4 linked regions of the Stegostoma tigrinum genome follow. The protein of the gene in region 1 purifies or fractionates together with the protein of each later gene. This does not show direct contact. Links are inferred from orthologs where the notes say so. Each region holds a gene or a part of one and is shown on either strand. Other genes may lie near its edges.

Region 1 (7,125 bases):
CCACCTATACTCTCTCCACCTATCTTCTTTACTCTCCATCTTCAGTCCGCCTCCCCGTCTCTCCCTATTTATTCCAGTTCCCTCTCCCCATCCCCCTCTCTGATGAAGGGTCTAGGCCCGAAATGTCAGCTTTTGTGCTCCTGAGATGCTGCTGGGCCTGCTGTGTTCATCCAGCCTCACATTTTATTATCTTGGAATTCTCCAGCATCTGCAGTTCCCATTATCACTGATACTATTTATATACCCATCCAGGTGCCTTTTAAATGTTGTAATTGTACTCAAATTTATCTGACACTTCCTCTGGCAGCTCATTCCATACATGCACCACCCTCTGTGTGAAAAAGTTGCCCTTTAGGTCCCTTTTAAATGTTTCACCTCTCAACTTAAACCTATGCCCCTCTAGCTTTTGACCGCCCTTTGCCTATTTACCCTATCCATAGGCAGAAATGGAGCCCAGAGAGAGAGGAGAAGTTAGGCAAAGACATGGATAATGGGAAGCCAGGGAAGGAGAGAAGCTGAAATGGGGACTGTAAGTAGGTGAAGATGGGTCAGAGGTGCTGAAAGCAGCCCGGCATGATAGGGCTGGGGGAGTGGGGTGTGCGGGGTCTGGGGGCTGCAGGTGGGGATGGGACGGTGTGTGTGTGTGTGGAATGCATAAAGGACACGGAATGAGGTGTTCAGGTTCCAAATTGTTAAACGTGGTGTTGAGACCCCAAGCAGAAAATGAGGTGTTGTTCTTCCAGCTTGTACTGAGCTTCCCTGGAGCGCTGCAGCAAGCCTGAGACAGAGGTGTTGGCCAGGGAACAGGGTGGCATGTTGAAATGGCAGGCAACTGGAAGCTCAAGGTCATTTTTATAGACAGACGTATAGCAGTCAACCAGTCTGCATTTTGCCTCCGCAGTGGAGAGGAGACCACATTGTGAGCAGCACTGTTATTGGGCAGGTGTTACACCTTCTGTAGTTGCATGGGAAGGTGCTGTGGGGGTGTGAGGAGGTGCTGGGGGTGGAGGAAAAGTGGACCAGAGTGTCCCGGAAAGAACAGTCCCAGTGCAGGCTGACACAGAAGGAATGTGGAACGAGTCTGGTGATGGCATCCTGCTGGAGGTGACGGAAATGGTTTCCAATGATCCTCTGAATGTGGATGCTGGAGAGGAAGAAAGTCGCGATGAGGGGAACCCTGTTGCTGTTGGGGGATGGAAGACAGGGGGTGAGGACTGAAATGCGGGAGATGGGTCGGACCCGGCTGGGGGCCCTGTCAATTACTGTGCTGGGGAAATCCTTGTTTGGAGAAGAAGATGGACAGTATGAGGCTCATGCCACCAGCAAGCCACCACCACTGGTAGCCCATGCCCCCCGATCCCCCACACACAGAAGGCAGCATCATCAGAACAGATACAACAGAATGGAGGAACTTGGAGAACGGAATGGCGTCCTTACAGGAAGCAGAGTGTGAGGATGTATAGTCGAAGTTACTCTGGGAGTTGGTGGGTTTGCAGTGGATTTCTCAAAAATGTAAACAGAGATGTGGAGGAAAGGAACGGACGAGTCAAAGATGGACCAGGTAAAGAGGGAAGCAGCACCGATGATGTCTTTGAAGTGCCAGAGAAAGGGTTTTGAGGAGGGATCCGAATGGGATTGGAACAAGGAACGTTCCATGCACCCCACAAAGAGACAGACATTGCTGGGGTCCACGCATGAGCCCACGGCCGTGGTAGAAAGTGAGAAGAGTTACTGGTGAAATTGTTTGAAATGAGGATCAGCTCAGCCGGGTAGAGGACGGTGGTGGTGGGCAGGGATGGTTCAGGCCTATTTTCCAGGAAGAAGAGGAGAGCCCTGAGACCATCTTGATGCGGGATGGACGTGTAAAGGGATTTCACATCCATGTCGAAGAGGAGGCAGTTGGTGTCGTCAAAGTCAAAATTTTGAAACTGTTGTAAACTGTCAGAATCATAGAAACTCTACATTGTGGAAGCAGGCCATTCAGCCCATTCAGTTGCACCAACCCTCTGAAGAACATCCCCCCCAGACACCCCGCCCCCACCACCCTGTATTTCCCATGACTGACCCAGCTAGCCCGCATGTCCCTGGGCACTACAGAACAATTCAGCACGGCCAATCCACCCTAACCTGCACATCCCTGGGCACAATGCTACGATTTCCCACGGCCAATCCACCCTAACCTGCACATCCCTGGGCACAATGCTACGATTTCCCACGGCCAATCCACCCTAACCTGCACATCCCTGGGCACAATGCTACGATTTCCCACGGCCAATCCACTCTAACCTATGGATGTGGGAGGAAACCCAAAGGAAACCCAAGCAGATACGGGAAGAATGCTGAAACTCTACACAGACAGTTGCCCAAGGGTGGAATTGATCCCGGGTCCCTAGTGCCGTGGTACAGCAGTGCTGAACACTGAGTCGCCGTGCCACCCTTAGAGTTGCAGATATATATGGGAAGGATCTGGACAAAAGTAGAGAAGTCAAGGTAAGAAGTAAATTCTATGGGGCAGGAACAAGCAGAAACAAAGTGTGGAGCTGGACGAATACAGCAGGCCAGGCAGCATCTCCGGAGCACAAAAGCTGACGTTTCGGGCCTAGACCCTACATCAGAAACATTGTGTCTGCTGGGCAGCCCATTTATGGATCTTGGGAAGATGGTAGAAGAAGGGTGTCTGGGGATGGGGGACTGTGAACTTGGAGGCTGTGGGGAATGAGGGTATATGGGGTGGGTGGAGGGGGGAAGACATGCCTAGAATAAGATGAACTTACTGACTGCCATGGACATAATATCCTGATGTTCGATGGTGGGGTCATGGTCCAGGAGAGATAAGAGGAGGAACCTTGAGAGCTGCTGCTCAACCTTCCCAATGTCAAAGTCAATATGCCAGTGAACAGCAGCACCACCCTTGTTGGCAGGCTTGATTTCAAAGTGAGAGTTGGATCTAAGAGCACAGAGTGCAAACAGTTCAGAGGGACACTGGTTTGAATGGACAAGGGGGCAGAGAAATTATCATGGTGACATTGACAATCTTCAGTGAACAGATTGATTGTAAGTAAGGGGACAGAAGTAGGGGACTAGGTATGGAGGGGTGTGTTGGAGACAGATGAAGGTGTCTATGGGACAGAGAAAGGACTCCTGTCCAAAGAATTGGGCAATGGACACAACAGAAGAGGGGTTCAACATCTTTGTTGTGCCCAGTGTGAAGGCAGGAGAATGGGATTTAAAACTATACAATCCCTCCAGTGTGGAAGCAGGCCAATGCCCACACCAACCCTACGAAGAGCAAGTAACCCAAATCTACCCCCAACCTATCCCTGTAACCCCACCTTTACTATGGCTAATCCATCTAGCCTGCAGATCGCCGGACACTATGGGCGATTTAGCATGGCCAATCCACCAAACGTGCACATCCTGTGGACTGTGGAATGAAACTGGAGCACCCGGAGGAATCTCAGGCAGACCCAAATTCCACACACAGACTGTCGCCTGGGGGTGGAATTGAACCCCAGTCCCTGGCACTGTGAGGCAGCAGTGTTAACTGCTGAGTCGCCATGCCACATTATATCAGCAACGATGAGACCTGATGGGCCAAACTACCCTAGTTCCACTCCTATGTCTTAAAGTCTTATCTCTTGATCCCTTGAGGTGGGGCTCTCTGAACTGCTCATGTAGAGGACTAGGTCATGCTAGATGGGCCAAACGGCCTCCTGTTGTGCTTTTAATCTTTGTGTGACAACCCCACAAACACCAGGACTTGGCTATTTGGGTTCAGTGTGGCCAGTTTCTACACTTCAGATATCCTTGGTAAGAAAGATAGGTAAAGAATAGCATAAATTAAACAGTAATGGACAACACCCTATTTGAAAGGGAAGAGAAACCACATTAAAGAAAGTCACGCATGCGCGCTGCCGGAACGGATTCCGAGGCTACCTGCAGTAGCGCTGGAATGGGAGCCGGTCCTGCGCGTGCGCAGAATCCGCGCCAGTCCGGAGGCATTGCGCATGCTCAGACTGCCGGCGTGTCCGGGAGCGGAGCCGGCGCCAGGCATGCGCAGCGATGGGGCGAATGACGTGTCGTTGTGACAGGTTGGCAGGAAGTGAAGGCATTGACACCGGAAGTGGGAGCCAGAGGGCTGAGACTGTTTGAGAGTAGGGGTGATCCAGAGGGAAAGTGTGGAAGCAGCCGGCTGTCTTCGAGCGCCTGTAAAGTTAGTAGGTTAAAAACCGAAAGGCTGGGAAGATGTTGAAAAAGTTTGACAAAAAGGATGAGGAGTCTGGTAAGTGCCAGTCATGAAGGACGGGATGAGGGGCCTGTGTTGGTTACTATGGCAGCACCGGCCTAAGGGAGCAAGTGATGAGCAAGTTCCTGATGTAGTCAGCTCAGGTGCTCCATGGTAAAGCCTTTCTGAATCTGCTCAATGTGGGCTCGAAACTAACTTCTGTAAATGTGTTTAAAATTCATTCAGTTGCCTGGAGCTATCTGAACCCAGTGATGACATACTTTGCCAGGGCAGGGCTGGGATTTGGCTGGCATCATGGAATGGTTCTGGCACTGTAGGTGACGATTTGGCTTGTGATGCCTCTCTGAATGAGCAATTCACCCTGTGCCATTCCCTTGCCTTCTCCTCGTAATTCTTCACATTCTTCGTTTTCAAAAAGTAATATTGTTCCCTATTGAGTGGCTAGATTGAATAAAAATAAAGTTGCTGGAAAAGCTCAGCAGGCCTGGCATCATCTGTTTCGGGTTTGATGACCCTTCCTCAGGCTTGATTGAATCTGCTTACATGCAGGTGCAAGCACACACTTGTATACACAGACACACAAACACTTGCATGCACAACACATTCTAGATCCTAACCAGTCATTGCATAATGGTGTTTTGCCCTCACGTTCCCAATTGCTTTAAATCTGTGCCCTCTTGTTCTCAATCCTTTCACCTTTGGGACCACTTTCTTCCTATCTACTTGTACAGATGCCTTGCCATTTTGAGCTCATCAGTCAAATCTCTTTTCAGCCCGTCCAAAAAACAACTGTGAATGACAGTGATGGATTCCTGTCTAGCTACAATCAATTTTTCATATTTTTCTGCATTTGATGACTTACTAATGGGTTGGTTTGGCTGTATACTAATTAATACAAGTTAGCATCAATCTTTTTGGTGTCAGTTTTTTTTGGTAGCTAGTATTAGCTTTAATGGTATGTCAAATCTGTCAGTATTTGTGAAGTGTCTCTACAGGTTTGACAACATTTGTAGGAGTTCCCTGTGAGCATTTTAATGGTTAGACATTTCAAAGGCAGGGCTAAAAAAGATCGCTGGAGCCACTAGGCTTGTTGCAAAGTCCAAATAATCAATAGGGTGCTCAATCTGATTTACTCTGCCAACTACCTATCCAGTTCCTTCCTGAATATTCAGACTGTCTTGTCCTTGTTGGCTTGTCTAGTCATATTGTTGTAATTTTCTTGGTTTCATAATAAAACTCATCCATAAAGTACTGGAAGTGTACAGGAAATCTGTTAGAACAAAAGAAAAAATACATAATAAAGAAGCAGTGGAAAAGTGGAAATGTCACTGGACTAGAAATCCAAAACCCCAGCCTAAAGTAGGCACATGCGTTCGAATGCTGTCATGGTAGATGGTAGAATTAATACAAATCTGCAATTTTTAAAAAAAGCTAGTCTAATGGCAACCACCAGTTCACTCTTTTCCTTTATGGAAGTAAATCTGCCATTCTTATAGTTTGGTTTACATGTGACCCCAGACCAACAGCAATGTGATGTTTACTGATCTCTGGTCAATTAGCAATTAATAATAAATATTTCTTACCCACTGAAGCCTACATCTCATGAAAGAATAAAGAAAAAGTCATGAACTTAATTTTCTGTCAAGTGATAATAGTCGAGCTCATAACTTGACTCATTTATGTTTGCTGGAATTGACATGCATTCATACACAGGATCTTGATCTTTGTAAGCGAAAGGAATATGCTCAAACCTTGCCCCTCACCAGTTTGAGGCTATTGTTTCCAATTACATTTTAGGTAGCAATGCCTCAGCCAATCAGACCTGCTGACCAATCAACTCCCTTTTCATGTGTACCGCAAATCCTCATTAAGCTGCAGGGGTTAATGGGCATCCTGTGGATAACAAAATAAGTGGGTACTGCTTCGATGTAACTCCTTTATCTGCCACGAAGGAATGCACACCCAGACCAGATGAGTTGTTGGGAGGAAAGATGCCGAGGAGTGAATGCAGTAGAAAAGTTGTGATTATTTAAAATTTTGCAATTTTGCAGCTGTCCTGATGAGTGCGAGAGTAAAACTTCAGTTCTCTTTTCAGCCATGTTTCTGTTTTATATTTTTTACCTTACCGAAATTTTATCTAACATTACTTAACGATATATTTGTTGTTCTTATTCTAGTAAGTCAGTTATGACTGTTGTGATTGGTTAGTGTTTACTGTAGAGTTGATTTTTCAAAGAGTGATGGGCCAGTAGAGGAGGGACTGATTGGATGCAACAAATTTTTGAGTGCTGCTATTATATGTTGTTATGAAATTGGGTAGAGTAATTGTGAAGTGGCAGGCAGGAAGCTAAAATGTGTGGTTCCTTTAAGAGATTTGTGTTTTGTCTGTATTTGGATGCACACTTTTTTAAAATTTCTGTGAGCACCAGCTGGAGTTTCCAGAACACAGAGCCTCAAAAATTGAAACTAATGTATGAAAAAGAAAGCCTTGCTGGTGGCAGACAAAGTAGCAGTCTTGTTTTAAAGTTGTGACAAGTTTGAAATCGATCTATTTACTTAAACGAAGCACCGAGATACAGAAAGCCAATCGAATTTAAATCTGATGGTGTTGACAGCCTAAAACCAATCATAATATAAGAATTTCATTCTGTCATTATGGGTAGAAAGACGAGGGCATTTAGAAAATTGGAGCGAGCCAACTGCCATCTGAAATACAGCCACCCGCTAGAGTTAGCACCATTCATCGCTCAGAGAAAGCCCAACTAATTAACCAAATGTACCACGGTATTTTAGCTCAAAATCATCATTGAAGAAATTAGAGATACAAGATCCCTGACAGCAGAATTAATGGAAGAAAGGCATTTGTGAAGATAGTGGAG
Region 2 (7,535 bases), on another chromosome or scaffold:
GATAAGCAAGTGGTCCATTTAACATCTCATCCATAGGATACATTTCTAACAATGCTGCATCCCGTCATTTTGAAGGGTTAGCATACAATAAGTGGGTTGGAATCATGGCCTCTCCAACTCAGTGATCTTCTCCAGTCCTACAACACTAAGATATTGGCACTGCTCAACTTCCGGCCACTTGAGTGCTTGATTTGAGTGGCGGTCGCTTCACCAGCCTGGCTCCTAAGTTCAGAAAAGCTCTGATGAAACCTTTTCTGCTTCATGAACCCTTTTAATTCTTTAAGATTAATTCTTTAAAAATCAATAATGCCATATTAAGGAAAATGAACAAAGGCTTGGTCATTGAAGTAAACTTTAAGTATGGTCTTTTAGACTCATAGAGTCATACAGCATGGAAACAGACCCTTCGGCCCAACTAGTTGAATGGAGTTTATTTTGGATAAATGCAAAATTTTGCATTTTGGTAAAACAAACAGACAATACATGTACTATTAAGAGGGCATTGGGCAGTGTTGAAGAACAGAGAGACCTATGGGTTCATGTACACAATTCTTTGATATTTGCATCACATATAGATGGGGTGGTTAAGAAAGTGTTTAGCATGCTTGCCTTCATTGCTCAGATCTTTGAGTATAGGAGTTTTTACCTTAGTGTTGAGGTTGTGCAGGATATTGGTGAGGCCACTTCTGAAGTACTGTGTCCAATTCCATCGGTAACTCCTCAGCCTATTGACCCAATTCACCAAGATCCCTTCGTAATCTTAGATAATCTTCACTGTCAACTGTACTGTCAATGTTGGTGTCATCTGCAAACTAACCAGCCATGCCTCCCAAATTCTCATCCAAATTGTTTATATAAATGACATTCAAAAGTAGACCCAGCACCTATCCATGTGGACCACCACTGGTCACAGGCCTCCAGTCCAAGAAACAATTCTCTACTACCCTCTATGTCTCCTACCATCAAGACAATTTTGTATCTAGCTGGTAAGCTCTCCCTGAATCCCATGTGATCTAACTTTATTAATTAGTCTACCGTGGAAACCTTGTCAAAGGCTTTATCAAAGTCCATGCAGACAATGTCTATCAGTCTGCCATCATCAATCTCTTTGGTTATGTCCTCAAAAACCTCAATAAAGTTTGTGAGACATGATTTCCCTCACACAAAGCCATGCTGACTATCCTTAATCAGTCCTTGCCTCTCCAAATGCATGTAACTCCTATCTCTCAGAATCCCGTCCAAGAAATTACCCACCACTGATATCAGACTCACAAGTCTATAGCTCCCAGGCTTCTCTCTATTGGCACTCCTCCAGTCCTTCGACAGCTCACCTGTGGCTGTAGATAACCCAAATATCTCCACCAGGGGCCCTGCAACTTCTTCCCTAACTTGCCACAACATCCTGGGATGCACTTGATCAGGTCCTGGAGATTTAACTACCTTTCTCTTTTTTCAAGACTTCCAGCACTTCCTCTTCTGCAATGTGGACTGTTTTCAAGACATCAATATTTACTCCCTCAAGTTCTCTAGCCTCCATTTTCTTCTCCACAGTAAAATCTGATGTAAAATATTTGTTTGGTATCTGTCCCAAATCTTCTGGTTCCATGCAAAGACAAAAACATTAACCTTTAAGGGGCCTTTTTTGCTCCCTTGTTGCTTTTTTACTGTTAGTGCACTTGTAGAATCTCTTTGGATTATCCTAAACTTTATCTGCCAAAACTAATGCTTGCCCCTTCTGGTGCCTCCTGATTTCCCTTATAATTTTCAAGAGATTCACTTTATCCCAATTGTCTATATCTAATACTTGACTCCTTCTTAATCTTGACTGGAGCCTCAATATCTTTATTCATCTATTGTTCCCTACTCTTACCGACCTTACCCTTCACTCTAACAGGAAACTAATGTCTCTGATCTCTCATTATCTTACTTTTAAAAGCTTCCCACTTGCCAATCATCCCTTAACTTCAATCTACTTCAACCAATTTTTGAAAGTTCCTGTCTAATATGATCAAAATTTGCCATACTCCAATTGAAAGTCTTAAAAAAACAGAGTGGGTCAGAATCCTTAGAATCCCTATAGGGTGGAAACAGGCCCTTCAGCCCAACAAGTCCACACCGAACCTCAGTGCATTCTACCCAGACCCATTCCCGTTTTAACCCACGTAACCTACATATGCTGAACACTACGGGCAATTTAGCATGGCCAATCCACCTGCACATCTTTGGACTGTGGGAAGAAACCAGAACACCCGGAGGAAACCCATGCAGACACGGGGAGCATGTGCAAACTCCACACAGACAGACACCGAAGGCCAGAATCGAACCTGGATCCCTGCTGCTGTGAGGCAGCAGTGCTAACCACTGTGCCACCATGCCACCCTTGAGGCAAAGAGGTGTTGGGAGGGAATACCAGGGTATTGGCACTTCAAACATAGAACAGTAAAGCACTGTACAGGCTCTTCGGCCCACAATGTTGTGTCAACCTATTATCCTACTCTAAGATCAAACTACTTTGCATACCCTACATTTTACTATCATCCATGTGCCTATCCAAGAGTCACTTAAATGTCCCTAATGGATCTGAGTCCATTACTACTGCTGGCAGTGCATTCCACACACCCATCACTCAAGGCGTAAAGAATCTACCTCTGCCATTTCCCCTATATCTTCATCCAATCACCTGAAAATTAAGCCCCCTCATAATAGTCATTTCTGCCCTTGGAAAGAGTCTCTGGGTATCCACTCTATCTATGCCTGTCATCATCTTGTACACCTCTATCAAGTCACCTCTCATCCTTCTCTCCAATGAGAAAAGCCCTAGCTCCGTCATAAGACCTGCCCTCCAGTCCAGGCAGCATCCTGGTAAATCTCCTTTGTACCCCCTCTAAAGCTTCCACATCTTTCCTATCATGAGGCGATCAGAACTGAACACAATATTCCAAGTGTGGTCTAACCAGGGTTTTGTAGAGTTGCAGCATAACCTCGTGGCACTTAAACTCAATTCTCCTGCCAATGAGAGCCAACACACCATAGGCCTTCTTAACAACCCTATTGACTTGGGTGGCAATTTTCATGGGATCTTTGGATGTGGACCCCAAGATCGCTCTGTTCCTCCACACTGCCAAGAATCCTGCCATTAACCCTGTATTCTGCATTCAAATTCAACCTTCCAAAATGAATCACTTCACAATTTTCCAGGTTGAATTCCATCTGCCACTTCTTTGCCCAGCTCTGTGTCCTGTCAATGTTCCATTGCAACCTACAACAGCCCTCTACACTATCCGCCAACCTTTGCATCATCGGCAAATTTACTAACCCACCCTTCTGCTTCCTCATTTATAAAATCACAAACTGTCGGGGCCCCAGAACGGATCCCTGCGGAAGACCAATGTTCACCGAGTTCAAGGCTGAATACTTTCCATCTATGGCCACCTTCTGTCTTCTATTGAACAGCCAATTTTGTATCCAACTTGAAGGCATGAACATTGATGGTGCAACGATCAAAACTGGGGATACTCAAGAAGCTAGAATTAAATGAGTACAGACAACTTAGAATGTTTTACAGCTGGAAGAGGGTACAGAGAAGAGCGCAGAGGCAGGAGCACCATCGGCAGCTTAAGGCCTCAGAAGGATTTGAAGACAATGCTATAAATATTAAATTGAGATATTGCTTGACCAGGAATCAGTGAAATTTCCTGGCCACTTTGGTAAGTAAGTAAGCACAAGAGTTAGAGGGGAGTAGAACTTATTGCAAGTTGAGACAAACAACAGGATTTTCTGTTCGCGGCAACATTAGGGAGGGTGGAAAACAGGAGGCCAGCCCAGAGTGCATTGGATCATTGATTTGAAAGTCAACAAAGGCATTAATGATGATTATTATTCATTTAATAGTTTATAGGTAATACTTTGGAAAATAACTCAATGCATTACGTTAATATTCCAGATGTTTATATTCTTTCTAATATTGTTTAATATTTAATATAAAATGCATAAGGGAATCTTTTACATCACTGGGTAGTTCTGGAAGCATGGCAATTTTACCTTTTCATTAAAAGTCTGATTTTACTTTAAAAATTCAACTTATTTAATGATCGTAGTTTTATATGAAATAATTATTTATTTTTCATTAATTTAGTATGTATATTCTAGCTTTATATATTATTCAATTATTATTCAGAAGTTTTTATTGAATATTATAATTCCATACAGCCTAATTAAAACGCATTTTAAGCAATAACAAATTACATTGTTATTAGAAGTAATGATCTGTATTAAATTAGATTTTCCAAGGTATCATAACGGCTTGGAGATAGTAGGAACTTGCAGATGCTGGAGAATCTGAGATAACAAGGTGTAGAGCTGGATGAACACAGCTTTCCAGCTCCTGTCATGCTGCTGGGCCTGCTGTGTTCATCCAGCTCTACACCTTGTTACCATCATAACTTGCCCCAGTTCTAGACACAGTTTGGCAGAGACACGGGATCCGAGCAGGCGCAGTGAGGAGGATGAGGACTTCCGGCGCCACGTGTGCCGCGCCTGCGCGTTGGGCACGAAGATGGCGGCCATGCAGCAGGGGGATGGGGACCAGCTGTTCGATGTCCGCAACAGCTTCTACATCGGCAGCTACCAGCAGTGTATTAACGAGGCGCAGAAAGTCAAGGTGAGGAGGTGGGAGTTGGGCGGCTTGGCACCCTGGGTCTTCTCTGCTGTTATTTACTTTCAAAGTTGGCCTTTTCTCATCGGAGTCCGGGGGCGGCTCTGGAACGGTCGCAGCGCCCAGGGAGCTGGGCACCCGTCCGAGAGTCAGGGCCGAGGGAGTGCAGCATTTGAAAGGCTATTAGATTATTACCTCAGAAGAAGTAATATGCAGGGCTATTGTGAGAAAGCAGAAAATGGAAACTAGGCATATTTTTAATTTGGAGAGCCAGCGCAGCTAAGACAAGGTGAATGTCCTTTCTTTGATCAGTAACTGCTGTCAATTGGAGCAGTCGCATTTATGAGTATAAGAGCAGGATAGTGGATGTATATCCTGCAAGGCATGGTTCATTTCCTGACTTCTCTAAATTTCTCCACTCTCTAAAAGATTCGGGCCGGGTATGTAATAGAGATAGTAGGAACTACAGATGCCTGAGAATCTGAGATAACAAGGTGTAGAGCTGGGTGAACACAGCAGGCCAAGCAGCATCAGAGGAGCAAGAAAGCTGATGTTTCGGGTCGAGACCCTTCCTCAGAAAATGAAGAAGGATCTCCACTCGAAACGTCAGCTTTCCTGCTCCTCTGATGCGGCTTGGCCAGCTGTGTTCATCCAGCTCTATATCATGTTATTTTGGATATGTAACAGGATTCTTTCCTCTCATTTACATGGTGTTGTCTCTGAATACCCTGAAAGCTTGGCATCAACAAGAGCAGCCAACTTTATTTCACTGCACTCAATGGGATTTGATATCTATTTAGGCTTGCATAAATTAGAATAAAGGTAAAACAAGTGATTGAAAAAGCAAACGCAAGTCAAAAAGTCACCTGGTTATAGTCCAACAGATTCGTTTGAATTCACAAGCTTGCGAAGCGCTGTCCCATTTTTAGTTGAAGTGACAGCTACCCTGACAAGGCAGCTCTCCCTCAGCACTTCACCTGACAAAGGGGCAGCTTTGAATGCTTGTCATTTCAAATAAACCTGTTGGACTATAACTTGGCATTGTGTGACTTTTGACCTTTTCTGCCTGGTCCAACGCTAGCATCTTCGCATTATGCTTATTGCAAGTGAAATGGAATATAAATGTAGGGATATTTTACTGCAGTTGTACAGGGCATCGGGAAGACCACATCTGGAGTGCCGTATGTACTGTTTTAGTTATCTTATTTAGCATTTAGAAGGAGTTCTTGGACTGGAAAGGTTGGACGGTCCGACCCAGTATCCATTGGAATTTAAAAGGATAAAGAGATGATCCTGCGTGGACTTGACAGAGTGCGTAGTAGTGATAGTTTCCTTTTATGAAACTAAAACAGTTTAAGAGCTGTCCATGTAAGACAATTGTTAAAAATTCTGAGGGTCATGTGCAACATTCCCTCTAAGTTTGTTTTGGCTTGTGGAAGCCACTGCTGCAGTCTGACTTCTGAGACCTATACAGTGCAAAAAAAGAGTGAGGGAACGTTGGTCATGAGCCTTTGGCATTCTCTTCCCCAGAGAGCAGTGGTGGGAGAGTCGTTGACTATTTTTAATAGAGTGAGAGAGATTCTTAAACTTTGACTCCCCTGTTAATTATCAGGCATAGGCAGGAGTATGAAGTTGAAGCCACACTCAGATCAGCCTTGATCTTAGTGAATGGTGGAATAGGCATGAGGGTAAAATGGCAGACTCCTAACTCATATTCTTACATTTTTGCACCACTGGTTTAGTGTTCGTAATATGCACTACATAACTGATCAAGCCTCCTTTCACAGTAACTTCCAGCTTTCCTCCTTCAGGTATCAACTACACAGCTTCAGCATCACTGCCAATTTCCTTTCGATCTGGCATCATCCTGACTTGGAATTATATGTAGTGTCCTGAAATTTCCCGGGTAATTTCATAATTGATGCAACAATAAGCAATGTGAAAATTCTATCCTCTTTGGGAACTTGTTGATGGGCCATAAAATTGTAGCTTTTTCCATCTTCTCTTTAACCTAATGGATTATTTTCTTCTGTCCTTCCCTCTCCCCCCCCCCACAAAAAAACCCTTATTAGCTTCTTCTTCAAATACTGATCCGTTTCCATTGTTTCCCATCAGTCTTTTTGATGGTCTATTCCATGTTTTAGCAACTAAGGCAAATGCATACATTTTTATAACTCTTCCTTCATTCTTGTGATACTAATCTTTAATTTACAACCAGTTCATATAGATGCCTTCTGAACCAAATCACAGAGCAGTACTTTGCTTGACTTATCAAAAATCCATATTTCATTTCTGTGAAATAGGGCAAAGCATTTACAAGATGGTTTCAGAAACACTGAGTTCAGAGTCACCAGAGGTAATCTACCATGATTTAGATCTTGGTTTCTGCAGTATTAGTGGCGCTTTAGCATGCTTGAGCCAAGAAAAATGAGGTGAATATTAGCCAGGTTTATGTTATAAATATTTGAGGTGTACTGTTATTGCATTTGATTTTAATTAACCTCAGTGAAATTGTTTTGTAATCATTCCTTCCTACCAGTTGTTTCTTATTTAAATAGTCATTGTTGTAGTTTAGCTGTTAAAGACAAGATTTTAAGAGGTAGGAGCATAAGTAGGGCATTCAGTCCATCCAGCTTTCTCCAGTATTTGAGATTATATTCTGATACTCGTCAACCTCATCTTCCTGTCTTCTCTCCCTAGACCTCAGTTCCCTTCCTGATTAGAAATCTGTCTCAGCCTTGAAACACTTCACAAGCCAGCCTTAACAGCTGTCTGGTAAGAAAGTTCACAGATTCCCTGTTGTCTGAAAGAAGAAATTCCTTTTCATTTTTGTCTCAAATGGGTGACTCCTTACTCTGAGATCTCACCTTCTCGACCTAGA
Region 3 (7,162 bases), on another chromosome or scaffold:
GTTTCGGAAACACATAAGCTGAGGGAATGATGTAGGTTGACAATGTTACATTGGTGGAAGCAGATTGCCTTGGCAAAGAACTGAGTTAGGGTTGAAAATTCAGAGTCAAACATGACACCAAGGACATGCACAATCTGGTTTGGTCTCTAAGTTTTCATGGAAATGGGTGTAGTCAGCGAAAACAAAAGAGCAGCGTTTGTTTTCATGAAGTCCTTTTTATGTCAAGAAACTCCAAAACACAGTTTACAGCAATGATGCACATTTGAAGTGCAGCTAATGTGGTAATGTAGGCAAACAGCAGCAGAGTTGCACATAAGAAAATTCCACGAACACCAATGCAACCAAATAATCTATTCTATAACAGTAACTACGAGAGAAATATTTGACAGGTCATCAGGGATAATTCTTTTCCCTTGCTATTTTGAAGAAAAGTTTCTGTGAATTAACTAAGATGACACTTAGTTGGAGAAAATTTGTCCTTTCAGCACTGGGAGTCAGAAAAGCAGTGAGATAAATCAGAAACAATGCACATAAAGTAGAAGTGAAGTTGAACTGGATGGCACTAGCATACATATGGTACCTGAGATTGTGATTTTGCATTATGTCAAAGAGGTAGGGGAGAAATAGGTAATAGTTAGGGATACATCCTTGCTGAATTCAGAGGTAACACAGGACCAAATAAAAATACCTCATTGCAGGTAATTATTTGGCTATGACTGTGTCGATCAGAATGGAATTGCCCCTGGTTAGTTTCAATCAGCTGGACGATGCAGCAGATATGCTGAAGGAGGATAGCATGGCCAACGTTGTCAAAGGTTGAAGGCAGATTAAAAAAACTATGGAATGATTACTTATCATGGTCACAGTCATATAAGTTGCCAGTTGTAACTTTAATAACAGCTGACTTACAGCAGGAGCAGAAGGTTAATTAGTGAGCTTCAAACATGAAATTGTAGGAAAGATGGGCAGCAATTTGGGTGGTGACAGACATCCAAAGGTTTCGGAAAGGAATAGGGAGATTGGAGATGATGCACTGTGTCACAAACGGCAATAGCATTTAGCTATGAGCCATCACTGGGACATATCATAACACTGTAGTTTACATCATGGCTTTTTAGAACTCTGCCATTTGTTTATCAATAGCAGGAACTGAAAGGACTACACGGAATTCAGAAGCAGGTCACATCTCCCTTCCTGAAGGCCATGTATTCACCAAAAATATCAATATCATATAATAAGAGGTTGACAAACCATTTTTTCATACAGCAGGTAACAATTAGAGAAAAAAAAATTTACGTTTGCACTTTGATCTTTTATCTAATTTTAAGAGGATATTTCACACTCGAAGTAACTGAGATGTGCAGTGTAGTTATCAGGCTCTCAGGCACATTGTATTACTTAGTCATGAAATGTAGTTATTTTCAGGTAATATTCTGTCATTGGAGCTTTATCCTACATTTAAACTACACTTGCGTTTTACAGAACATTTAAGTATATCATATAGTTTGAAGCCAATGTAAATAAGGGACTTCATTGTTGATTGATACAATATTTAAGTTCAAAACTTCAATGCAACTTGCTCAAATTTGCAAATGCTAAATTATGATGGGCAAGGAAGAAACTCAGAAAGTGAGACAAGGGACATAAAATGTCCAGATGAACAAAGCTATGGCAGATGATGTTCAATATGCATGAAGGAAAATCAGATATATGTTGTTTGCAAATAGCAGGAAAGCTGAAGGAGACCAAAGTGTTTCCACAAACTTGTCACAAGATGTACAACTAAACACAAAATTCAAACCACAAAACCAATAAAATGATGAACTGCTGTAGGCACAAATCAGAGTAAGTCATGATCTAGCTGACAGCTGTCTGATCAGCTCAAAACTTATGATTACTGTATCTAGCTCTCACCACCAAATCACAAAAGGAATATTCAATGAAAGAACAGTGATGTTAATTCATAGAATTAATTAAGTCAGAATTATGAAGTACCATCAAGATTTCAGGTTTGAAAGAAAACCTCCAAGGAGATCGAAAAGGTAACAAATTCGGAAATGATAAATGGCAAATTACATTAAGAAATAAAGTGCAAAGTTAGGCAAGAAGACAAATACAGATTTAAACCAGAAAGGAGGTCTTATTGATAAGGAATGGAATGGAATCCCAAATATACTGGAGAAAATTATGATTCCATTTTAAAATGCACGCTGAAACTGAAGCTTAAAGCTTTTCTAAATGAAAGAAAAATTGGTTGACCGACGCTTCTGGTAAGCGATTATCTTATGCACAACTTGCTAGCAAACTTCACAAAACAACTCGCAGAAATTCGACCTTTCGATTTTTCGCTGTTAATGTTTATGTAGCAGCAGTTTCCTCTCGCTCAGTGCTGGGCATCCCGACAGTTTAAAAGCTGACCTGGCCATTTTGACTACTTGGCACTTTCCAGGACCAGGCAAGTTTTACCTGATTGCAAAGTCATTAGATTTGCAAAAAGGCATAATTCAAATGTTAAAGTGAAGCCCAAAGGAAGTGAACAGAGAACATTATGCTGCGGAAATATTAAGCTACATGCTTACACGGGGACCCTTCACTTTTGTAAAAACATCGGCTTCTCAAGGATTATTCAAAACCTCATTTGATTTTGCTTCAATCTAAAGCCGAAGAGTCAGTCCAGTCCATCTGAGGAGGGAGCAGGACCGCTCCCTATTGTGATGTAAATCTGCTCCGGGAAGCATGAGTGGGGCCGAGACAACAACAAAACCCGGCCTTAGGCCGCGGCCAGGAACTGGCAACCTCCGCTGCCAGGCGACGGTCTTACTGCACCTGGTCTCCAGAGATGAGAAGAGAAGGCCGGGTCGCTGTATCAACGGCGGCTGAAGAAGCGGGGAGGGGGGAGGAGGAGGATGATGATGATTGTGTGGAGGTAGAGGAGGAGGAAGCCGATCTCTTCCTCCCGTTGTCCTCCAGCTGACGTGGAACTGCAACCTCAATGATCGACGGCGGCCGAGCGGTGCCAATAGACACGCAAGCGCGCTCCGAGGAGCCACGTCACAATCCGCAATCGCAGGCAGACTTTCCCGTCCAGAGCACAAGTGTAATCAGGGAACTGCTGCACGAGAGCATGCATCATCTCTACACTATCAGAGCGACTCACTTCATAGCTTCCTTCTCCCTACTCCAAAGGTGCACATTTTTTTTGCCTGTCTTTTTCTTTTCATGCTTTTCTTCCTTTTCCATACATTTTTAAAAACTTTTCACTTCATAGTCCAGAGATGGTAAAAACTGCAGTTGTTGGAGTCAGAATTAGCCCCTTTTCTGAAGGGTCTCGAACCCGAAACATCAGCTTTCCTGCTGCTCTGATGTTGCCTGGCTTGCTGTGTTCCTCCAGCTCCACACTGTGCTACCATATCAGTCCAATTCCCTTTCGAAGACATCGATTGAACCAGTCTCCAGCAGTGTATTCTAGACCTCGAGTGCCGGCTGCACGGATAAAAAAAAAGTTATTTCCTCGTATTGCGGTTGCTTATTTTGCCAATTATTTAATTTTGTGTCCTTCGTCCTTTCACAATTGGGAACAGTTGCTCCATTTGCTCAAATACCTCAAGCACTCGCATACCTCAAGAACAACGTCTGTATCTTCTTTCCTCCCTGGGAACCAGTCAACGTTACTAATGGCATACATAATCTCCAGTCTCCCAGGTTGCCTTGATCAGCTACAGTTCGTCCATCCTCGCAATATGTCCACAGCAGACACCAGCGCTTTCGTCCAATACTCATCCCTGGAACGTCTGAATAACGAGGACACGTATGTCAAATTTCCATTTAGTGACTTTAGCTCTACCTTCAACACCATAATTCCAACCAAACTCATTTCCCAATCCTCCGAGAGCTAGGATACTCCTCCCCATTCTGCACTGGATCCTCAACTTCCTGAGCAGCAGACCACAATCGTAAGGATAGGTGACAGTACCTCCTCCATGATAATCCTCAACACCCTGAAAAGTTGTGCACGCAGACCCTTATTATAGTCCTTATATTGTCACAACAGTGTAGCCAAATTCAGCTGTAACTCCATTTACAAATTCGCTGATGACAACAACAATGAGATAGAGTACAGAAGAGAGATAGAGAGCTCAGTGGCATGCTATAAAGTCATCAATCTCTTCCTCAATGTCAGCAAAACGAAGGAACTGGCCATCAATTTCAGAAAGTGAAATGGAGGATATGCCCTCAGAGATAATGGGAACTGCAGATGCTGGAGATTCCAAGATAATAAAATGTGAGGCTGGATGAACACAGCAGGCCAAGCAGCATCTCACGAGCACAAAAACTGGAAGCTACGGGATGAATCCATAGCCTACATACCCCCAGGCGACACCGAGAAATACCTGGGTGCCCGCATCGATCCATGGGCAGGTGTGGCAGAAGGGCAGTGGGAGGAGAAGCTTAAGTCCTGGGTTCAGGGAATACAGGCAGCGCCTCTCCGACCACGGCAACGGTTGGAAATCCTAAAGGTGCATGTCATCCCCAGATTGTACTTCCATATGATCCTAACAGAAGCATCACAAACTACTCTTGTAAAGCTGGACCAAATCATCCGTAACGCCACGAAAGAATTCCTACACCTACCACCTCATACCGCAGACAGAATACTATATTCGAGCTACAGGAACGATGGTCTCGGCGTCCCAAAACTCGAAGTGCAAATACCATCCGCGATAATCCGCAGCTCTTGCGGTGTAACCTATACCCAACAAGAACCACAATATCTAGAGGTAGGCCGTACAGAAACAAACTATGCCGTAGATGTGAGATGGCAAATGAGACCCTACCACACATCTCAGGATACTGCCCATTCGTTAAGAAAGCTCGAATCAAACGCCATAATAAGATCGCTGACCAGTTGCAGAAACACGTCAGTAAGTACGGCTGGACATCATACGTGGAGCCCAGACTATTCGATACACACGGCTCACTATGGAAACCCGATCTCATATTTAAGAAAGACAAGAAGATCGCGATCGTAGATGTCACAGTGCGGTACGAAAATGACAATAAAGCACTGGAAACAGCATGGCGAGAAAAAGTGGAAAAATATAAACACCTGAATGCCGAGATCACGAAACTGACAGGAGGCGAGGTGCCCAGCTATTTTGGCTTTGTGATGGGCGCACGAGGCAAGTGGTCGGAAATGAATAACCGCCTCATGACATTCCTCGGCATCGAGAGATACGACACTTTCGCCCAAAAGACCTCGAGACTCACTTTGTCACTGACACTCGAACTTCTGCAACTCTTCAGTGACAAGTGAGGAAAAACCGCAAACGGTGAATTAAGTCCCTTCACCGAGACATAAGAACATCAAAGTTGCACATAACATCTGTCTCCGTTAATGACAATAACAACCTGCCTCATATAACATCAGTATCACCCGAGCCCTTGGTCTACGGTGACGCTAGAGGCCCGAAACGTCAGCTTTTGTGCTCGTGAGATGCTGCTTGGCCTGCTGTGTTCATCCAGCCTCACATTTTATTATCTTGGAGGATATGCCCTGTTGGTCACAATGGTGCAGAGGTAAAGATGATCAAGCACTTCAAGTTTCTAGGGGTAAATATCAAATAAGCAAAGAGTAGTGATAAACAGGTCCCTTTCGGAATGGCAGGCGGTGACCAGTGGGGTACCACAACGTTCGGTGCTGGGACCGCAGCTGTTTACAATGTACATTAATGATATAGACAAAGGCATTAAAAGTAATATTAACAAATTTGCTGATGACACAAAGCTGGGTGGCAGTGTGAAATGTGAGGAGGATGTTATGACAATACAGGGTGATTTGGACAGTCTAACTGAGTGGACGGATGCATGGCAGATGCAGTTTAATGTGGATAAATGTGCGGTTATACACTTTGGTGGCAAGAACAGTATGAGAGACAGGGATGAGTACACTGCAGTAAAGAATTACTGCAGCTTTGAACAAAGACATCTGGTACTGAGCTGAGTGATAAGATAAGGGAGTGAAGACAAAACAGTTAGAAACCAGAATGAACTGGACCCAAACTGCTAAGTTCTGCTTTGCACCATAGACATAGTTAAAGCGCATGCTTAATGAGACAATGCATATTAACTTTCACGCCCATGCTTACGAGACTGCTTAATTAACATAACATGCAATGTATGAAGAGTGTGGGACAAGGGATGACATGGGAAGATTGTGCATCTTGGAGCTCAGATTGGACAGAGCCGAAAGGGAAGGGGTGACTCCCTGACCTGTGTGCGTCTCAGGCAATGGGAGGCACCCGATTCTGCAGACTCGTAATAAAGCGCAAGTAACTTGTTTCCAAGACTTTGCCTCCTGACTTTGTGATTGTGAGCACGTGAATTTATATCTCACAAGCTTGGGGGCTCATCCGGGATCCACACTCCGAGTCGTCCGCTGGTGGGTTCGGAAGAAGAGAAGGCGTGCCCCGCTGAGTTCAGAGGTCCCAGACGTCCTTGCTTGCCGTTGGGCGGCTTGAGCGAGTCGTATCCGGATAGGAGACTCTGAAAACAAGTGGGTTTAGGTTAAGGGCCCTTGGAATGTGAGTCGATCGAGCAATTCTTGTGCACAAGACCCGGGTAAGAAAATTGACTATTAACTACTATCCGGGCGATCGGGGAATCTGTCCGAAGTGGGACAGGGATGGGGGCTAAAAGGTAAGAGCCCCCGGGAACAGAGTAGGGGGCCAAGAGGACGAGGCCCCGGGATTCCGCCCGATAGTCCGTTGGGGTGGATGTTAGAGCACTGGGAGGGTGAATAAACCCAGGGTAAGAGATAAGTGTAGGATGAGTACACTTTGGATATATCCGGCACTGGAGCTCCTCCGCATCAAACGTGCCGAGAAAATTCTGAGGATGAGGAGCAATTCAGACGTCTGTCAGCATGCCTTAATAATAAATTAGGGAATGAAATTGGGCAAATAGAGGGAACGAGGTGGTAGATAAATGCACCAAAGTGAAAGAAGCAATTTTGAAATGCAAATCAGGGGCAAACTGAAAAACTTTAATAACTATGTGGAAAAAAACTGCAGAGGAAATAACGAACTAATCTAAACTGGCGAACTGGGATAATAATGCCTGTTGAAGAGGGATTAGATTATGTGATCATGAGGAAAACTTTAAA
Region 4 (6,831 bases), on another chromosome or scaffold:
CAACTCTATTTTTACATCCAGGTTCTTTTTATTCTTCAATCTTTCTTCCAATTTCTGTCCTTAGTTTCCCAAAAACATCTGCAAGATCCTTCAATTTTTTATTCCAGAAAAAAGCAGCACGATGACAATGTCCTGAAATGTGAGCGATCAATCTCAACAAAGCCCCTTAATTTTGTACAGCTCAGAATTGAATGAACAGAGCTGCACATCTTCAATGATCTCCAAATAACTAAGCTTCTCACCTTTAATAACATCTCCTCACTGAATCCCTTCTGTATCTTTAGCACAATCTTCAATCCTATTCAAAGAAAGTTGTCTGAAAGTGTGCACAATGTTCTAACTGCAACCTAACCATCAGATTAATTCAGCACAGTGATACAGACAGGAAGAAGTGGTCAGGGAAGAGGGAGAGAATAGATGTGACGCCAATGAGGGTTGCGCAGAAGAAAAGGACGCTACCAGATCTGCCAGCACTGGTTTTGCGCTTCCAAAAGATTAATGCAGCCATTGAAATTAATATTTTACAATTGGAATAGCTGTCCTTTGATTCTAACTGCTGGTATTAACTAGAAGCTTCCATTTTGTAAGAAAAGTGGAGATACTGAAACTAGTACAACGGAGAAGCCCAAGTGGAATTTTAAGAAACTAGTAAGGAAAGGCTGTTCGCTCTGTTTTGCAAATCAGAGAGAAGGAGTCAATTCAAAACAGTCAGAATGGGCGAGTGATAAGAAATTTTGAAAGTATCGTATGCAGTTTTAGCGTCCTTACTTAGGCAGGGATAAAACTGTATCTGGTACAGTTTCGAAATGACACATTTGGCAAATTTCTGGAGTGAGAGATTTGTTTTATGAGGAAAGGATGAGCAGATGGGGCCTACATACATTATTGATTAGAAGATTTAAAGATGATCTTATTGAAACATTGAAGATTCTGAGGGATGTTCATAGGGTTCATAGGGTTGCTGGGAGGATAGGGAGTCTAGAACTACAAGACAATTTCAAAATAAGGAGTCTCTCACTTAAGACAGAGATGAGGAAGTTCTCTCAGAGGGGTACAAGTTTTTAGAACTGTCTTCCCCCAGAGAGTGGTGAGCAAGAGAGACAGCACGAGCATGAGACAAAGGCGGTCTGAACTACATTTCAGGGTTTCATCTTTATTCAACAAAGGAGTTAAGGGTGATTAGGGCAGGCAAGAAAATGAAGTTAAGCTCCAATCAAATCAATCAGTATCTCATTGAATGACAAAACATGGTTGGTGGAGAGTGCCAAATAGCATTCAATTCTTACTCAATTCTTTTGATCTTAACTTCTTTTTTGGTAGCATCTGTCAGAGGTTGAAATGTTTTGCCATAACCAGGTGTGACAAAGAACAGATGCTACACAGAAAGACACAGGGTACAGCAGAGAGATGGGCAGGATTAGTTGAGGATTTCTGCACCAGAAAGAGTAGGTATCAACATGACAAACTAAATGGCCTCCTTGAATTTTGTAAAACTCAATGGCTGAATCAGCTAGTGAACCAAGACTGATTTGAGATCAATACATTCCCAGAGATTACCAATCAAAATAAAATAAATGTTAGTCAAAACAGTCAGTTCACATAACAGTGTATCTACCTGCATTTACATAGAAGCTTATCATATGCTAAAGGATGAGTCAGTCAAGTCATTTTGAAGTATAGTCCTTCACAAGAAAGGAAACACTACTATCAATTTAGGTATAAAAAGACCCTCCAACAATATTAGAATGGTCTATGAGTGGTTTTTCTGCCATTGACAAAGGCATTGTTTTTTCGGGTGAACATTGAGAGAACTCCATAATTAACAAAATATTGCCCCACAATATCTTAAGCTTACTTAACTAAGTAGGCAGATCACTAATTTAGTATTGTATCAGAGATAATGGGAACTGCAGATGCTGGAGAATCTGAGACAACAAAGTGTGGAGCTGGATGAACACAGCAGGCCAAGCAGTTTGTGTTCCTAAGATGCTGTTTGGCCTGCTGAGTTCATCCAGCTGTACACTTTGTTATCACTAATTTAATATATAAGCTCTAGTCATTCAGCAGCCCAGCTGAGGTTCACCACAGATTACTTGCTGGCCACAACACTCTGGCTCAAGTTAGGAGTGCTGCTGCCATTTGAGCCAAACAATCCCAGCCTTATAATATTTCAATAAAAGCTCGTTGTTGCAATGAGGCAGCACTATATACCAAAACATTAATAAGGAAGCATCAAGGATTTTAATTCTAGAAGTGTCAGAAGTCACAACAAATGATACAAATTTTCTTGCGGTGGAGTCCAGTCTGTAGAAAGCTGAACTGAGCTGGTATCAGTCCTGGTACAGTTGGTCTCACTCTCAATTTTGGAGTTAGAAGGTTGTCGATACAAATCCTAATCAAGGGACTCGAAGACTAAACAAAAATCGCAGAAACGCGGATCCAATGCAGTAATGAGAAAGTGCAGCATGGTCAGAGATACCATGCGAACAAGACAGTAAACCAAGCTACTCAGTGTCCTTTCAGGACGTTAAAGGACCCCGCAGCCACTTTTATTTTGAAAAAGACGCTGAAGTAGGAAGGTGCCTGTGCCTGGGGAGCGATGCCTAAACCTCAGGCAAAAAGTGGAAACCAGCTGGATCATCAAGTCACTCCCATCAACAGCAACGTGTACAGATTGACTACCGTGTTTATTAGCATGGTGAATGAACTACAACAATCCTGGTGATAAGTAAAGTGTTAAAATAAAATGCGGCGATAAATGAAGGCGGACAAAAGAACCGATTTTAGGGATGTGAAAGGCGCTAAAGAAACGCAGCTTTCTCTGCCTCATGGGGTGAAGCGGGATGAGTTGGCGCTGGGGAAAGGAGTTGCTACCCCGGTAACTCACCGCCATCCAGGTCCACGGTGTAAATGGGCAGTGTTTCCAGGGAGAGTTTGTAACTATCAAACTTAGGGTCGAGGAGGTGACGGGAGACCGTCAGCGAACAGTTAGCCGCCGCCATCACACCGCCCGACAAACACTTCCGGTCACTCCTAGGGCAGGCCGGGAGTTGTAGTTCTGTCACTAGACCCGTAAACTAAGATCTTTAACCCTCGATGCGTCGCCATTATTTAATGTTCGCTGGCAAATAGATTGTGTATTTGCACACAAATTGAATTCTGGTTTCATATCATGATTTTCTGCAGTTTAGTTCCCTGTTCGGAGGACATGGGGTAAAGGATATTGCGTTGCACATTCTGTTTCCTCGCTTTTAAATCACATTTCGGCAGGGTTTAAGTTGCTACTGAGTCCCACAACCCCTCCCCACACACTCTCTCTCATTCTCTTTTCGTTGCTGTTGTTGTTGTTTCTCTGTTATTCACTAGTTAGCCCCAGGCTCCTTACAGTCCGGAACCGTTTTGTGGAATTGCAGGTTGGCGGGGAGCGGTATGAGGGCGGACGTTCTCCTTTGATCCGCACTGGGCCGTGCCCTGTTGTATGAGAGAGAGAGAGAAGTGAGATTGTGAGATACAAGTTGTTGGGGGGAAATCAGACAGGTAAGACGGGGCGATTCCGGACACAGAGAGGAAGTAATTTGGAATGGGGTTGAGAGAGAGTTATAACGATGGTGGGGTTCAGCGCAGAAATACAACCTTCAGTCCAACTTGTCCATGCCCATTGGATATTCTCAATTAATCTAGTCCCATTTGACCTCTATCACTCTTAAACCTTTCTTATTCCTACACCCATCTAGATGGCGTTTAAGTGTTGTAATTCTCCACTACCTCATTCCACATATACACCACTCTGTGTGGAAAAAGTTACCCCATAGGTCGGGGAGCTTTCCAGGAAAGGATGAAGGGGGTTTGGAGGGAGATGAAGGGGAAGAGAGGGGATGGTTGCAGGCTTTGGAGGGAGAGTGAGGCAGGGGTTGTTGGAAGAAGAGAAGGAATGGATTGCAGGGTGTTTCAAGGGATTGGGAGGAGGGGTGTTTGGAGGGAGGAGAGAGCATTTGGGAATAGAGGGGCAGGATTTAGATGAAGGTGATCTTAAAGGGGAAGTTTGGAGGTGAAAGGGATTTTGGATTGACGATGTTGTTTGAAAGAGCAGGGATGGGGTTTTAGACTGAAGGAGGGAGGGAGTTTGGATGGAGGAGAGGGGTAGAGGTTTTGGTCAGGACAAGAGATTTGGAGGGAGACAGGGTGATGAAGGACCAAAGGGATGTGGAACGGTTTATGTGAACATGGATGAGAAGTGAGGATGGAGTGAACAGGAGAATGGGACCAGGAGGGATGTGTTTGGGGAAGATAGAGGAGAGGAGCAGAGAGAGAGAGAGAGAGAGGACGAAGGGAGGGAAGGGGAAGAGTAGAAGTGTAGGATGATGGTAGGGAGGCCAGAAGTTCTGAAAATTGTAGAAGATGTGGTGTGGGGTCTGTAGATGACTTTGCTTCATTTTGAACTGTGCTGCAACCTCTTTCCGTCTAAATTCTTGGAGGCACTTTTCCTTCCCTGACTTTTGGTGTCTCTCATCATGAGCGCAGGTCTTGGTGCTCTACAAAATCAGCCATCATATCATTGTTTTTTTGCGGTCTTTGATTTGCTAACAAATGCTGTTTTTTTTCCATAGATCTCCATGGGTGACAAATGTCCTAGCTGGGTATAATTAGTCAACTTTAACAGAGTCATGTAATTACTGGTATTAGGACGTAAGGCAACAACATGGGATGCATATTGAAGAGCCCTACAGTTAATGTGGGTTACCACTGAGAAATCATTGCAGTTCAATTTTCAGAACGATTGAATAGACAAGGTTGATTTTGAGATTGGTCATAATGCAGTAGCAGTGATAATTACTGGGTTGTTTCTTGTATGATCTGTAGAGAATGTATACTGAAAGGCCAGAGTACAATCTGTTCCAGGCTTTTGATAAATATGAAGCAGTTTCAGTCAGGTATATCTTACAAGTGAGCGTGTTTCAGATCTTCCATCTCAAATCGAAGTTAAATGCAATTTATTGTATCAGTTCTGATGATGGGCCTAGGCCCAAAACATCAGCTTTTGTGCTCCTGAGATGCTGCTTGGCCAGCTGTGTTCATCCAGCCCCACACTTGTTATCTTGCAATTTATTGTGATGTCTTTTGCAGCCTCTAGGGGGTAGTCACCTACTACAGATGTATTTGGCAAATAGAAAATGCAGATTTTAAAACCTTGGAGCTGGAATATTTATTGGTGTGAGTGAAGCTCTTTTTTGTGACATGCTTATCTTCCGAGTGTGCCAGGTATGTAAAGGGAAGATTAGAAACAGGTAATCATGGAACGTACACAGGTATTATCAGTGTCATTTTTATTACGTAAAAAATACTGCGGTTGCTGGAAACCTGAAAGAAAGACAGAAAATGCTAGACAAACTCAGCAGGACTGACAACATCTGTGAAGGTGCATTGAGGGATGTCCATTCTGCGAATAACAAATGTGATTAAGACTTCAGTGGCAATAGGGGTGTGATAGGAATAGACCATTAGAAATTTTACATTTGGTGTGATGTGGTGTTTGAAACTCAGTCTAGTGTCGGAGATACAGTTTGTGCATCACCTTATCCAGGAAGCAGCACAGAAGGGGCTGATGTCAGGGAACAGGTGGTGATAAAAGCTTTTGTATTATTTTTCTTTATTTCATATCAAAATTTCAGTAATGAACAGCCACCACCTCTTTCTGAGTTTTTTTCCTTCTGCTTGTAACTGTAATCCAAAAACAACATGATGTAATAGGCTTAGCATGAAGTAGAAATGAAAAAAAGCCTAAAGGCTAACAAGAAGCCAACAATTAGTTTCAAAACTAAGAAACAGATTGGAAATGGGTATTTTTCCCAAAATGAGGATATGTGCTGCTATTAGCTCAACTTGTTTATTTCCTTTCCTAAGTACCTATCTCGAGTCATAGAATCCCTAGAGTGTAGAAAGAGGCCTTTCACCCCGTCAAGTCCTGTACATATCCTCAAAAGAGCATCCCACCTAGCCCCTGACCCCCACACCATCCCCGTAATCCTTCATTCACCATGGCCTACCTGAATACCTCAAGACACTATGGGGCAATTTAGCATGGCCAGTCCACTTAACCTGCACATTGTTGGACTGTGGGAGAAAACCAGATCACCCCCTGCAGAAATTTGCACAGATGCAGGGAGAATGTGTAAACTCCACACAGATAGTCGCCCTGCATTGTGAGGCAGCAGTGCTAACCACTCTACCCCCCCCCCCCCCCCCCGCCACTTTCTTTGGGGCAAGAGATGAGGGAGAAAAACCTTAAGTTGTTTTGCCCATGTGCTATTCTCTGTGGAAATATTACCAGTGTATTTGAGCTGTTGTAGCTGATGTTTTCATTAGGTCTCCAGATTTGACTGTGAGCACAATAGCGCAGTGATTTTGGTAATAAGTAATCTGGAGAGTGAGTTCCACTCAAATTCTACATAGATAATTACCCAGGACTGAAATCAAACCCTGGATCCCAGTAAGTTAGCAGTGCTACCCACTGAGCCACCCTACTGTTCTCTGTTAATTCATACAAAGAATTTTAGTGTACATATCAGAATGTGTTTGTAATTCTATTTGTCTGAAAATCACTGTTTTTATACTATCGCAGAAATCCTTTATTTCACACACTTGTTGCTCCTCATATTGGCATGTGAATTCATATCTGCCGTCACAAGAATGTTAACTCAGTTGTGAAAAGTCCAAATGCACAAAGCAGTCAGCTGATAATTTTGCTTTACAAGCATTTGCAGAAATATAGCTGTCAAAACATACTGATGAGGGCAGAGCAGTGGATGTGGTGTATATGGATTTTATGAAGGC

What was found.
Region 2: the proteins of coatomer subunit gamma-1 (region 1) and cope fractionate together in Homo sapiens (co-fractionation; 6 studies listed by BioGRID and IntAct, counting the BioPlex papers as one, with this or other methods). This does not show direct contact. The link is inferred for Stegostoma tigrinum from reciprocal best matches to the Homo sapiens genes COPG1 and COPE.
Region 3: the proteins of coatomer subunit gamma-1 (region 1) and copb1 fractionate together in Homo sapiens (co-fractionation; 11 studies listed by BioGRID and IntAct, counting the BioPlex papers as one, with this or other methods). This does not show direct contact. The link is inferred for Stegostoma tigrinum from reciprocal best matches to the Homo sapiens genes COPG1 and COPB1.
Region 4: the proteins of coatomer subunit gamma-1 (region 1) and nudcd1 purify together in Homo sapiens (affinity purification with mass spectrometry; 3 studies listed by BioGRID and IntAct, counting the BioPlex papers as one, with this or other methods). This does not show direct contact. The link is inferred for Stegostoma tigrinum from reciprocal best matches to the Homo sapiens genes COPG1 and NUDCD1.

The regions. Positions count from the first base shown.
Region 1 is NC_081364.1:7,961,486-7,968,610, reverse strand, and holds the start of coatomer subunit gamma-1, read left to right. Parts: upstream 1-4,102; 5' UTR 4,103-4,245; coding exon 4,246-4,282; intron 4,283-7,125. UniProt on the Homo sapiens protein: The coatomer is a cytosolic protein complex that binds to dilysine motifs and reversibly associates with Golgi non-clathrin-coated vesicles, which further mediate biosynthetic protein transport from the ER, via the Golgi up to the trans Golgi network.
Region 2 is NC_081383.1:7,210,321-7,217,855, reverse strand, and holds the start of cope (coatomer subunit epsilon), read left to right. Parts: upstream 1-4,527; 5' UTR 4,528-4,555; coding exon 4,556-4,660; intron 4,661-7,535. UniProt on the Homo sapiens protein: The coatomer is a cytosolic protein complex that binds to dilysine motifs and reversibly associates with Golgi non-clathrin-coated vesicles, which further mediate biosynthetic protein transport from the ER, via the Golgi up to the trans Golgi network.
Region 3 is NC_081370.1:30,699,640-30,706,801, forward strand, and holds the start of copb1 (coatomer subunit beta), read right to left. Parts: upstream 3,023-7,162; 5' UTR 2,827-3,022; intron 1-2,826. UniProt on the Homo sapiens protein: The coatomer is a cytosolic protein complex that binds to dilysine motifs and reversibly associates with Golgi non-clathrin-coated vesicles, which further mediate biosynthetic protein transport from the ER, via the Golgi up to the trans Golgi network.
Region 4 is NC_081358.1:1,208,504-1,215,334, forward strand, and holds the start of nudcd1 (nudC domain-containing protein 1), read right to left. Parts: upstream 3,022-6,831; 5' UTR 3,003-3,021; coding exon 2,888-3,002; intron 1-2,887.